Drosophila melanogaster: one gene and its partner. The protein of the gene in region 1 interacts with the protein of each later gene in a pairwise test. Each region holds a gene or a part of one and is shown in the gene's direction. Other genes may lie near its edges.

What was found.
Region 2: the proteins of CG14443 (region 1) and CG14837 interact in a two-hybrid assay, tested with the Drosophila melanogaster proteins (one large-scale study listed by BioGRID).

The regions. Positions count from the first base shown.
Region 1 is NC_004354.4:6,632,188-6,636,714, forward strand, and holds CG14443 (uncharacterized protein), read left to right. Parts: upstream 1-1,771; coding exon 1,772-3,982; downstream 3,983-4,527. UniProt on the Drosophila melanogaster protein: Probable ATP-binding RNA helicase.
Region 2 is NT_037436.4:7,555,233-7,561,872, reverse strand, and holds CG14837 (uncharacterized protein), read left to right. Parts: upstream 1-1,835; 5' UTR 1,836-2,050; coding exon 2,051-2,150; intron 2,151-3,176; coding exon 3,177-3,651; intron 3,652-4,297; coding exon 4,298-6,005; 3' UTR 6,006-6,093; downstream 6,094-6,640.

The DNA.
Region 1 (4,527 bases):
ATCTCCTCTCGTTTCTTCCCAGTGATGTGTGTGTGTGGATTTTCTTCGGGGAACATAGCCGAGAATTTATGCCCAGTGCAACATTAGTTGCATAGAAATGTGTTGTCGGCGCACAAATTAAATAAAGTAAGTTAGTGTTGGGCAATGTCGTTATGGTTTAGTAATACTGTATAGAGTGACCTTAAATGGCAGTAAATAAGGATATTTAAAAAAAAAAAAACTTTAAAACTTTATATGGCACATTTTGTGGAGCATTTTTCATCGATTTTAGCTTGAGACTAACTATTTTTATAAGTAATCCACCAACTTGGTAACTGGTCACGTGTTTTTGTACGCTTAGTGCCGATTAGCCACTACCCCAACCACTATAGCCACACACAGCGATCCCAGCAGCAGCAGCGACAGGCACAGCCACAGCCTCACCTGCACCAGCACCTGCACACACATGCCCCCCCCCCCCCAATCCTCGAGTGCATCCATGGATCCATAGACAACTCCACCCCGAGGCGAGTGCTCGAGCTCGATATGGTGATGGATATGCGTGCAGCATAATCATGAAGTCGCTTTGATCTTCTGTCTGCGCTGTCTCGAAATAAATGAAATGACTCAGACAGGGGAGCATAAATTTTGCACTGGTGGAAAGTGTGGAGGGGCTGGGTAACTGGGGAGCTGCCGGAAATGTCATAAGCATAAATATAATTTTTTGATAATTGTGTGTGTCGCGAAGCGTTAATGGAACTTTAATTGAAACTCCGGACTGATTGGGATCTTAAACCAAAACAAATCTCTTTGAATGGCCAGCAATTCTAAAGGCGATGCAATGCAATTTGATGTCTTCATCGTTTCAACAACGAGCGTAATTACGACTTGATGGCCACATTAAATGAAGGGTGGTCTGAAAACCGGGTCGCGGAGGGGTGTTCCGTACTGTTGGCCAATTAGCCAAAGGAGATCGTTAGCTGTCCGACGATCATTAGCCTTAACGAGCTGTACAGCCAATTGCTTGCCAATTTATCTAGTTAATTATACGGATTTTCTATAGTTAGAACTCCTCGCATATGCATGCATGTGTACTTTATATTATTTATTCATTTTTTGTTTTTTAGTTTTATGATTTTTATTTAGAGAGATGGTAAAACCCTCCTCTGAATTCCGCATTGAGCAACTTTGTTGCGGCGTTTTTGGTTTTTTTTTTTTTGGATTTTGTTTTGCTTTCGTCGTCGGCTAATTGAATTTGATAAAAAAGCCAGCGAATGCTTTTAATTGACCAAACATTCAGACACTCACACTCGCCAATTATACGGCAGATAACCCACCCAATGTGGGTCTTTCGATTGAGTAAGAGCGCTCTGAACTTCCGCCAGCGGAGTACAAACCCGTATCCGTATCTCAGTCCGGAACTGGAACAGTCTGCACTCGGGAAATTAAGCATATTGAAGACCATAAAAAGTCCACTTAAATTATTAATCTTCCAGATTAATACGGACTCAAACCTCAGTTCATGCCCCTTAATAAGAAATTACATTTTATAACATTACATTTTATTAAGAACAATAACAAACACATATGGGAATTTTTTATTTCATTAAATTTAAATGTATTTAAATTTACCAACACTAAGAGGAGGACACACTGAAAATTAACCAACACCAAAGCTTAGAGTTGTCAACTTTTTTCATAACACGTGGCATTTCGCTGTGTTCGTAAGGAGATTTTTTTATTGCCTTGGCAAAAATTGGAAGTGAACAAACGCAAATAAGTGCTGCAGAAAATGTGTGAGAAAGCTAAGAAACTGGTGATTGGAAACTGGAAAGACAACGAAACCGATGCAGAAAAGGTTCAGAAAAAGCCGTTCCTTAAGGGTACGAAGTCTTCGATTTGGGGCTCCAGCGCTTCGGACATAAGCGGTCAGTCCAGATCTTTAAAATCCTCAAGCTCTGTCTTGTCCTCCAAATTCGTTACGAAAAGGCTTTTCACAATACAACACGGAATTGAGGGACAGAAACCAAATTTCAAAATCAGGAGCGAGAGTTTCAGTGGTCCGCATTCTGCTGGCGGATTTTCCAAGTCTACGCGCGAATCCCGGTCGAAAAGCAGGAGCATGGGTAATGGCAAGTTTAGAGGAAAATCCCATTTGCGGTCCAGTTCTGAGTCTGCTCATTCTTCCGGATCCGAATCGAGTTCATCCGATTCCAATTCCGGCTCGTCATCCGATTCGGATTCCACTACGGGATCAAGTTCTCACGGTAGCGATACGGGAGAGAGGCCACGCATGCGAAGCGCTGTTTTTCGCATTCATGAAACTTGGCAATCGCCAAATTCTTTCAAGGCCGTGAAAACCTCTCGTGAAAATAAAGAATCAAGAAGCAGGAGCAGCAGTCTACCGCAAAAGCGCTTTTGTCCTTCGAAGACCCAAAATGATCTGACGTACGGGAGTCCAGAACCCAAAAGTCCGTCCAATCGCGGCCGCAATTCGTGGAGGGTCGGAATGCGCACTCCCTGGAAGAAGAGTCAATCGAGGAGCATGAGTTGCAGCTCCATTCAAAAGATTTTGGTTAGCCGCTCCTTCACCAGAAGCCGCAGTCCCCATCGGAATACTTTGTGTTATCAGGACCAATCCAAAAACCCAAGCCGCCCTAGTAATTACAATACCTGGAAGCAGCCGATGGATGAGGTGTATAATAATGCCGCTAATTATCGGAAACGCCACAATATCACCTTGACCAGCTGGAATATGCGAAACCTTCCGGAGCCTGTGCTGAGTTTCGAGCGCAGCGGATTCAATGCAACCATATTACAGCAACTGGAGGATCAAGGCTATGATGGGCCCACGCCCATTCAGGCACAAACATGGTCGATTGCCAAGGAGGGCAAAAATATTGTGATGATTTCTGGAAAGGGTACGGGTAAAACATTGGGCTATCTATTGCCGGGCATAATGAAGATGCACAATCAGCGCGGATTAATGCAGCACAAGAAAGGACCGATTGTCTTGATATTGGTGGACTGCCGTGAGGCTGCTGTCATGGTCCAAAGAGAGGTATTGTACTATACAAATCCTCTCGAGCTTAGGACGCATTGCCTCTTGGGCAACAGTCAATGGCAAGGTCATGCCGAATGCGATCTGCTGGTGGCCTCTGCTGGTCGCCTGCTTCAAATGATTGATAACAAAAAACATGTTGTAGAACTGGAACGCTGCACATATTTGGTTCTGGACAATATTGATCGCATGATTGATGTGGGCTTAGAGGGTAACATTTGCCGACTACTATGCCGTCTACGTCCGCATGCCCAATTGATCGTCAGCAGCACGTCGTGGTCATCTAATCTGAAACGGATGGCCAACAAGTTTTTGGGCCAATACACCGCAATTCGCGTGGGTGAAATAAACAATATAGGCGTGCGATTACAAAACATCCGCCAGCGGGTGGAGGTAGTCAATGGGCTATCGAAAGTAGAACGCCTTATGAAGGAGCTGACTGCTATTTACGATACAAGCGATATTCCCGGTAAGGTGGTGATCTATGTGAAGCGCCAAAAGGTCGTGGAAGAACTGGTGGATTTGATCCGGAATTGTGTACCCTGCGAGGGCATCCATGGTGGACGCACTGCCCAAGAAAATCAAGGAATAATCCATGATTTTGGCACTGGCGCCTACAATATCATTGTGGCCACGCAAATGACATCGAACTGCTTGGATGTGCCAGGCATTCGTTATGTGATCAATTATGATTTCCCGGACAACATTGATAAGTATGTTCAACGCATGAGCAGAACGGGATGCCTGTCGTATAACCGTAACTGCGAGGTCATCAGCTTCTTTACCATGGCAAACTACAAGCTCGTGACGGAAGTGGTCGATTTTCTTAAGATCTGTAAACAAGAAATTGGACCGCATCTTCTTCAGCTCGCTGAAGAAAAGATGTTTGGTCCCCGTCAACGAAGGCGCCATCGTCCGCAACGCTACAATCGCATGCATTAGGGTCGATATAGCGGATATATATGTTATTGGCAAACATTTTGATGGCTTAACTAACTTAAATTGTTAATGTATAATGGATTTAACCCTTTAAATGTTTATTGATTTAACTAGGCCAGTTGAAATGGTTTTTTTTTTTTTGGGAGGGGGGGGGGGACTAAAAAATGGGGTAATGACGAATGGGAGGCATGGATGGCACGTCCGCAAAGAAAGTTGTGCATCCAGAGCTCAGAAGACGTGATGTTATGCAAGTGAAGTGCAGCTAAGTAAAATGCATGGCAGGCGCATCAATATTCAAATACGGTTTCAGTTCATACTAAATCCCTTATGATATTTACATGTGCCATTTATGTATTTATGCGTACCTTAAAGTTTTAAGAACCGTCATAGGATATTCAAACTTAATACGTTTTCTATCGTTATAAATTGTGAAAATCCGCCTAGATCTCGATCCATATCGAATCATTTGGGCTTCTGTCACCAATTCGCTGGTTCGCCTACCGTTCAAATTCTGACATATATGGGTCAATATTTTCTATACAGCCAGT
Region 2 (6,640 bases), on another chromosome or scaffold:
AAAAATAACGCGCTTATACAAGGTATGAAATTATTTAAGTATTAAGTATTAGTATTTATTTAAGTATTAAGTACACATAATTTCATAGATTTTTAAAGAGGACCATCAATAAACAAATTGCCCATCTAAGCTCAAGATATTGGCGGAGTGTTAAGAGGTGAAACTTTCGCATGGGGGAGGCCATTACATCACAAGATTGGTCGACTGGGTCTCGAGCACTTTTGCTCTATTGTTGAGCGCATTATTAAGCGCCGCTTAGCTTATGTAATTAATGTCAAGCCAAATGGCAGTGCCAAGAGCCCGAAGTGGAGAGTCTAATGAACCAGCTGCGTGTGCTGATTTATATGCGACTTTTTTAGCTGGTTTGTTTGTACACAAGTATGTTATAGGTCTGTCTATCTGTCCCTCCGTCTGTCTGACTGTTTGTTTGGCCTGGCCAAATTGTGTTTTGTCACCGTCACCATCACGGACGACGTCTCTCGATCGCGCACTTAGGCCTCGTTTATGCGCAGGCTCTGCTCGATACTCCAGTTTCTTGGGCCATGTGAATGTGACATAAGTCGCCGGGTGTACGGCCATGATATATGAATATGACAAAGCGACATGGACAACTTTATTGGCTCATGAAAAGCGCTGTCACTGCTTGACTGACATAAATCGCCGAACGGCAGAAATAGGCATTCAGCGCCACAAGAGCCAATCGATTGCTGCAAAAAAAAAAAAAAAAATTGTCCAAAAAAGTGTTTGGCCAAAATAAATCAAAAATCAATCTTTTCGAAGGGCCCCTCGACGATCATCTCTGTGCGGTGGTGTGGGCCACAGTGAAATCTAGCGCAATCGAGCGATTTGCATAGGACAGAATATGCCGAATCGATTGCATAGTTCTTATCTGATTGGAACTGTCAACCCAAGCGGATATTTCGCTTCATTCATGGGCACGGACAAAAACTCATATGGAAATTAGAGCAACAATTGGACATCGTGCAACGTTTCTAAAAATAATAACCGTGTGGAGCCTTCATTGACCAACAGACAAACACACAAGCCCACGTCAGGAATGTTAGCAAGCGAATGCACGCCACCTATCGGGCGAACTGGGCGTATCCCGACACGCTACCCCCTCACACACACACACACACACACACACACACACACACACACACACACACACACACACACACACACACACAGATTTTCGTATCTGAAGCCTTGTTCTTCACTTTCCCTTGTTGTGTTTTCACTTTGGTGACGGGTACTCATAGGCTACCAGGGTATGCCAGCCATTAAGTGATGCTCAGGATCGGTAAACATTCGATTACACATATAACCTTTAAGTATGTTATATTTAGGCAGCCCTAAATGGGACTGAACATTGAACTAAATATTGAAGCTCTATGATTATATCCTAAATATGTTAGATAAACCATCTTATATATAGTTCAGTAAATAAATATATACATGTGTTCAAGCAAACTGATTACACTGATTGGTCAACATCTGAACTAAATTTTGTATAATTCATCTCAGTAACAGGTACTCGCTGGTCTAAGCTCTCGCTCGTCGGTGCCCCACCTTATTTTGTTGCAGACCTAGAACCCTTTTAGCTTTTGGCCTATAACTACCTTAACTATGACTATGGTAAGTGTGCGCCCAACGCGCATGACCTCAGCAATTTCACTTCACTTGAAGTGCAAACGCACATGCAAACTGTGGGGCTCCAAGTGCTCCATGGGTCCGGTTGACCAGTCCAGCTCAGAACGGTCCGGTCCTGTTGCGTGCCCAGTAAATGGCAATGGTAGGGATGTGAATGGGGATTGTCGGCGGTGGTCGAGTGCCGAACTGACCCTTCACTTTAGCAGCGAATGTTTTGGGTCAGTGCTCAGTTGCGTTGAGTTCGTGACCAAAGGCGGGCGTATTTCTTATACCCAATTCATAATCATATTCATATTCGATATAAATAAATCCTCGGCTGTTGCTAAAGCAATCCACATCGATTCCCGCTCCGATCGGCATGGTTCCGCGATTGTCTGGCTCGAATTGAGAAGAAGTCATGGGCTGTGCCAGCAGCACTCCCATGGTTGCAACGGCGGGCAGCGAAATGCTGAAAGCCGCCAGCCATGTCAAACAGAAGGGCGAGGCCGTCGTGGAAGGTGTGTGTGCTTGTGCTTTAGTGTGTGTGTGTGTGTGTGTGTGTGTGTGTGTGTGTTACCAATCCGTGCTGGCCATTAGTTTAAGTGTTGGCCAGCAGATGACATTTAGGAGTGTGCGGTCGAAGGGCAGTTGCAAGCTGGCAGTCGGCGTATACTTGATATTTCGAGCGGATACTTAATTTTCGGCGAAGGACAGTCTTAGATCTAAAGTCAATTATTTGATGTTAAGGTTTCTAGAATTGCATTGGATTATTTTTAGTTGGCACTAAATGTGCTACTCATACTACTACAACTACTAGTAGTTCAACAATGATGGATGGCATTGAGCAACTACTCCTACTTCGATAAACTAAAGTCCTTGACCCCTGGCCCAAATCAATATTAAATCCATCTAATTACCGGCCACCAACAATCTAGTAAATTCCCACTTAATGCCAAAAAGAAATTCGATACATCCAGCCGCAATGTATGTAATAAATTTGGTCGTACTTCACATTATTATAATAACAAGCCACGTAATAAAGGACAATTGGCCAGCGCAATGCGTGCCGCGGAGCCTTTTTTGGCCTGATTTTTCGCCATTTGGCCGCCTTTCAGAGGGTCGCAAGTGAAAGCTGGCTCCATTGCCATCACCCGACCATATTTTTATACATTTATTTAACGCATATGAAGAAAAACGACTTGGTTGCGTGACCAGACGTCAACGAATTAGAGCAAAAACATTGACTTAAAAATATTATACTTACATGTGCACTGAGGGAAAGTACTATTATTAAATGCGGACTAAACTGTGCAAATTGGCTTCAATTATTCGAATATAATGTTTTTTTAAATGAAAATTCGACACCAATTCACGTTTCATGTCTCGTTTAAAAAATTATTAAAATTTTTTCTTTAAACTAGTCAAATGTGGTGTTATTACATTTATTATTTTCTTACTGCACATTTATATACTACTTATATATAAGCACTCCCCTGTCGGAATCGACAACTGAAAGTGCTTTCATTCCCGTGCTTTCCTTGCAGACGCCTCTGAAACACTGACCACCACTTTGGACACGGCCAAGGAGACCGTTGGCACGGCGGTGGCGGGAATTACCACTGAGCTGGGCAACGCCTTCAAGGAGGGCACTCAGGCTCTGGACGAGGCCAAGCACAAGGTAATGGAGGGTCTTCACCTGGAAGAGCCCCAGGTTTCCGAATCGAAAACAGATCCGGTAGAGGCAACGATGAGCAGTTCCCGAGCACCGACGCCCAAAATGCAGGAAGATACAGATAGCCTGAAGACCTCCACTCCAGAGCCGGAGATCGAACGGGCTCTGGCCAACGAGGAGGAGAGCCCACCGACTCCGAAACCCTCGCTGGAGGAGATGGTTCTGATAAGTGCCGAAGTCTCGCAGGCAACTGCTGCTGATGCGCCTGCAGTGGATGCACCTGCCTCGACTGCCGAGCCTTCATCAGCTACAGCAACAGAAGCAACCGAATCCTCCGCTGCCGTGGAGTAAGTAAGCCTAGAGAGCACCTGAAGCATCGCAAATCCGTAATCGCTAACCCGTAACCCCCGTAGCCCCATCGCAAATCCGTAACCTGTAGCGCCACTGCACCCTGAAGTTTTCGCGTAGTTTGTACCTGCAACGTTCGCTTATGATTCGTAGTTTCCGTCGTAGTATCCCGATATTTACATTTATTATGGCCTAATCAACATACTTTCTCCTCTCTCTTTTCTTGACTTGTATGTAAATTGTAAATAAACTTACTCTACTTCTATGTACATATCATATACCCTGCCTTTGTTTACTTGCGACCTCAGCAAATATAACTAACAAGAACATCAACAGCAAAGTCATGTGCGTAGTATTGTGGTAATATTTTAAATATATTTTATACGTTCATTAATATTTTATTCGGTTTGTCGAATAAGTGCGTAATTGCAGAACTAATGACCATAATATTAAAACCTAAAATACATTAACAATTATATCGTTTTGAGATCGTTAAAGATTTGCAAATACCACTTTTACACACACACAATCTCACTTATATACTAAAAAAAACTAAACACACCACCAAAAATTTAAAAAAAAAAATTAATACACTAAAAGACCATCCACACTTAAATTTTTATACACTGAATACTAATCCCCCAGAAGTCGTAAAGTGCGCCGCAAATTGGTCAAAACGAATAAAACGAATGATGAGGAGCATAGACCCAGCACCACCGAGTGGGAGAAATTCGCAGATCAGTTAGCCAAAAGCAAGAAGTTTAAGCCCTACGAAAGCTTCGCCCACGGTCAAAACAAGTTCTCCGTTTACCAGGATCACACCAGTCTGAGGGATAAGCCGAATCACTACGATGGTCATTTTAGCGGTGAAAACTCACAGAGTGCCTCCCAATCGGATTTGTCCAGCGGCCACATAACTCCAGCCCCCACTCGCAGAGGGCAACGGGAGTTTGCCAAATTCGTGGGTTCCGAACAGGCGGGTAGTATATCCCGGTCCAGTTCCAGGCTCTCGAATCCTGCCACTTCCAGGACCTTCGATTTCAATCCCCAACGCGAACGCATCAGTCTTTCCCTGGCCACTCGCATTGGTTCCGGTATTCAAAGATCTCCTGCCGAACGGGTTTCCGGTTGGGGTAGAGGAAGGCCGGCTCCCTTGGTGGAGGAACCTGGATACGGACGCAGAATGAGCACTGGAGTTATTCAACAACCCTTGATAGCCGGAAGAGAGAAATTTCTAGGCACTGGAAGTCGCCGGGCAGTAAAACCCATAACCCCGACAAGGGAAAAGTCTTCTAAGAAGCAGCCTTCCAGGATTATTTCTTCGCGAGAGTCATCTTATTTGGATTTCGATCCTCGCAGTCCACTAAGGATTACCAACACTTTACCAAAGGATGTAGTACGGTCCAGAGAACCATCTTTGAATGAGTTTGATTCCATTAAAGCTCAAAGGACGCCCTTAAAAGGACAAAAGCCCTTTACTAAGGCCGTAGTACCACTAAAGTCTTTGGAAACCAATCACAATCCTTTTAGGCTACACAAACCTTCAGTAAAGGAGACTGTTAAATCTAGAGAGCCATCCTACATAGAATTTGATTCTTTCAAGGAGGATAAAAGTCCTCGGAAATCACAAGCTATGGAAAAGAAAATGGTACGCTCAAGAGAGCATTCGTACCATGAATTTGATTCCTATAAAGCACAAACGAGTCCTTTTAGAACTTCTCTACCTATGCAATCAGATGAAGCCCCGAAACTACCTCAGAATCTCACCAAATCAAACAATATTCCAAAGGAGCAATTACCGCACAGAGATCGCAGTCCGAGTGAAGCAACTCAAACTTCAACAAATCAAAATCAATCCTCTGCACCTCAATCACCTAAAAAGACAGACACTCCAAAAGCTGTTGTTTCCAAATCAAAGATGTTATCACCACCGATTTCCAGGGCTTCCAGCGCTAAATCCTCAGACAGCAGCAATTTAGATGTGATAATCCGACCAATGAGCAGTCTGAATACACCTAGTATAAAGTCCTTTACTCAGTCACCGGATCAAGTTGTTATGGAAGGCTATGAAGATTGCGATTTGGAGGCTGCGCTAGCCAGACTGGAAATCTTGAGAGGATCAACGGCCACATTGCACTCCCTAAGATCCTGCAGTCCTGGCAGGCACACCTATACAGCCTCCTTACTAAGTTCTCGACGTACCTCTCCTTGGGTTATGAGAAAGAATTACGGAGGCACTCTTGGCCATAAAATAAAGCCAAAAGAATTGGTGGAGTCTCTGGAAACTCCACAGGCCACTCATAAAACCCTCGAACGCTGCGATATTTGCTACAATGAGTTTCTTATAAACTAGCTTATTCCATGACCGAGGATAATAGCAAATGTTGAGCTTGTAATTCTTTTGAAATTCTTATATATTTATTAAAATAAATTTATACACGAAATTACTGCCGTAAATAACTGAGAAGATTGCTCAAATCTACTACTTTTACTTTCATTTCGAAATATCATAAATGAAATTTTAGTTAGGTACTTAAGAAAATGTATATTTTTTATATAACATAGAATAACCACATGCCTCATTGGGTTATCTAAATAAATTCCACCTACATATTTACGCTGAAAATAAAAAATATATGTACTAATAGATTGTTTAATATTGTGCAATCTCACAAACTAAGAAGTTGTGTGCCATTGCAACGCTTTAATTACAAAATTTTTATGGCAGGCAATTTGTCTCCCGGGAGTTCAAATCAAAACCGAATCACCCTGCAGTAGGATTTGGGTTCCTCTAATTGATGACTTAATAACGAAATTGAAATGTTTATCTTGCCGTTCACTCAATTATTCTGCCACTTGTAGTTGCCTGCCTCGGCGGCAGGCGGTATGAAGTTCGATTTTACGTTTTACGGCTTCACGTTCCCCGTAGCCGTGATTCCACATGGCTTCCACATCCACATCTCCCGTCCGTGACTTAATGAACTATTA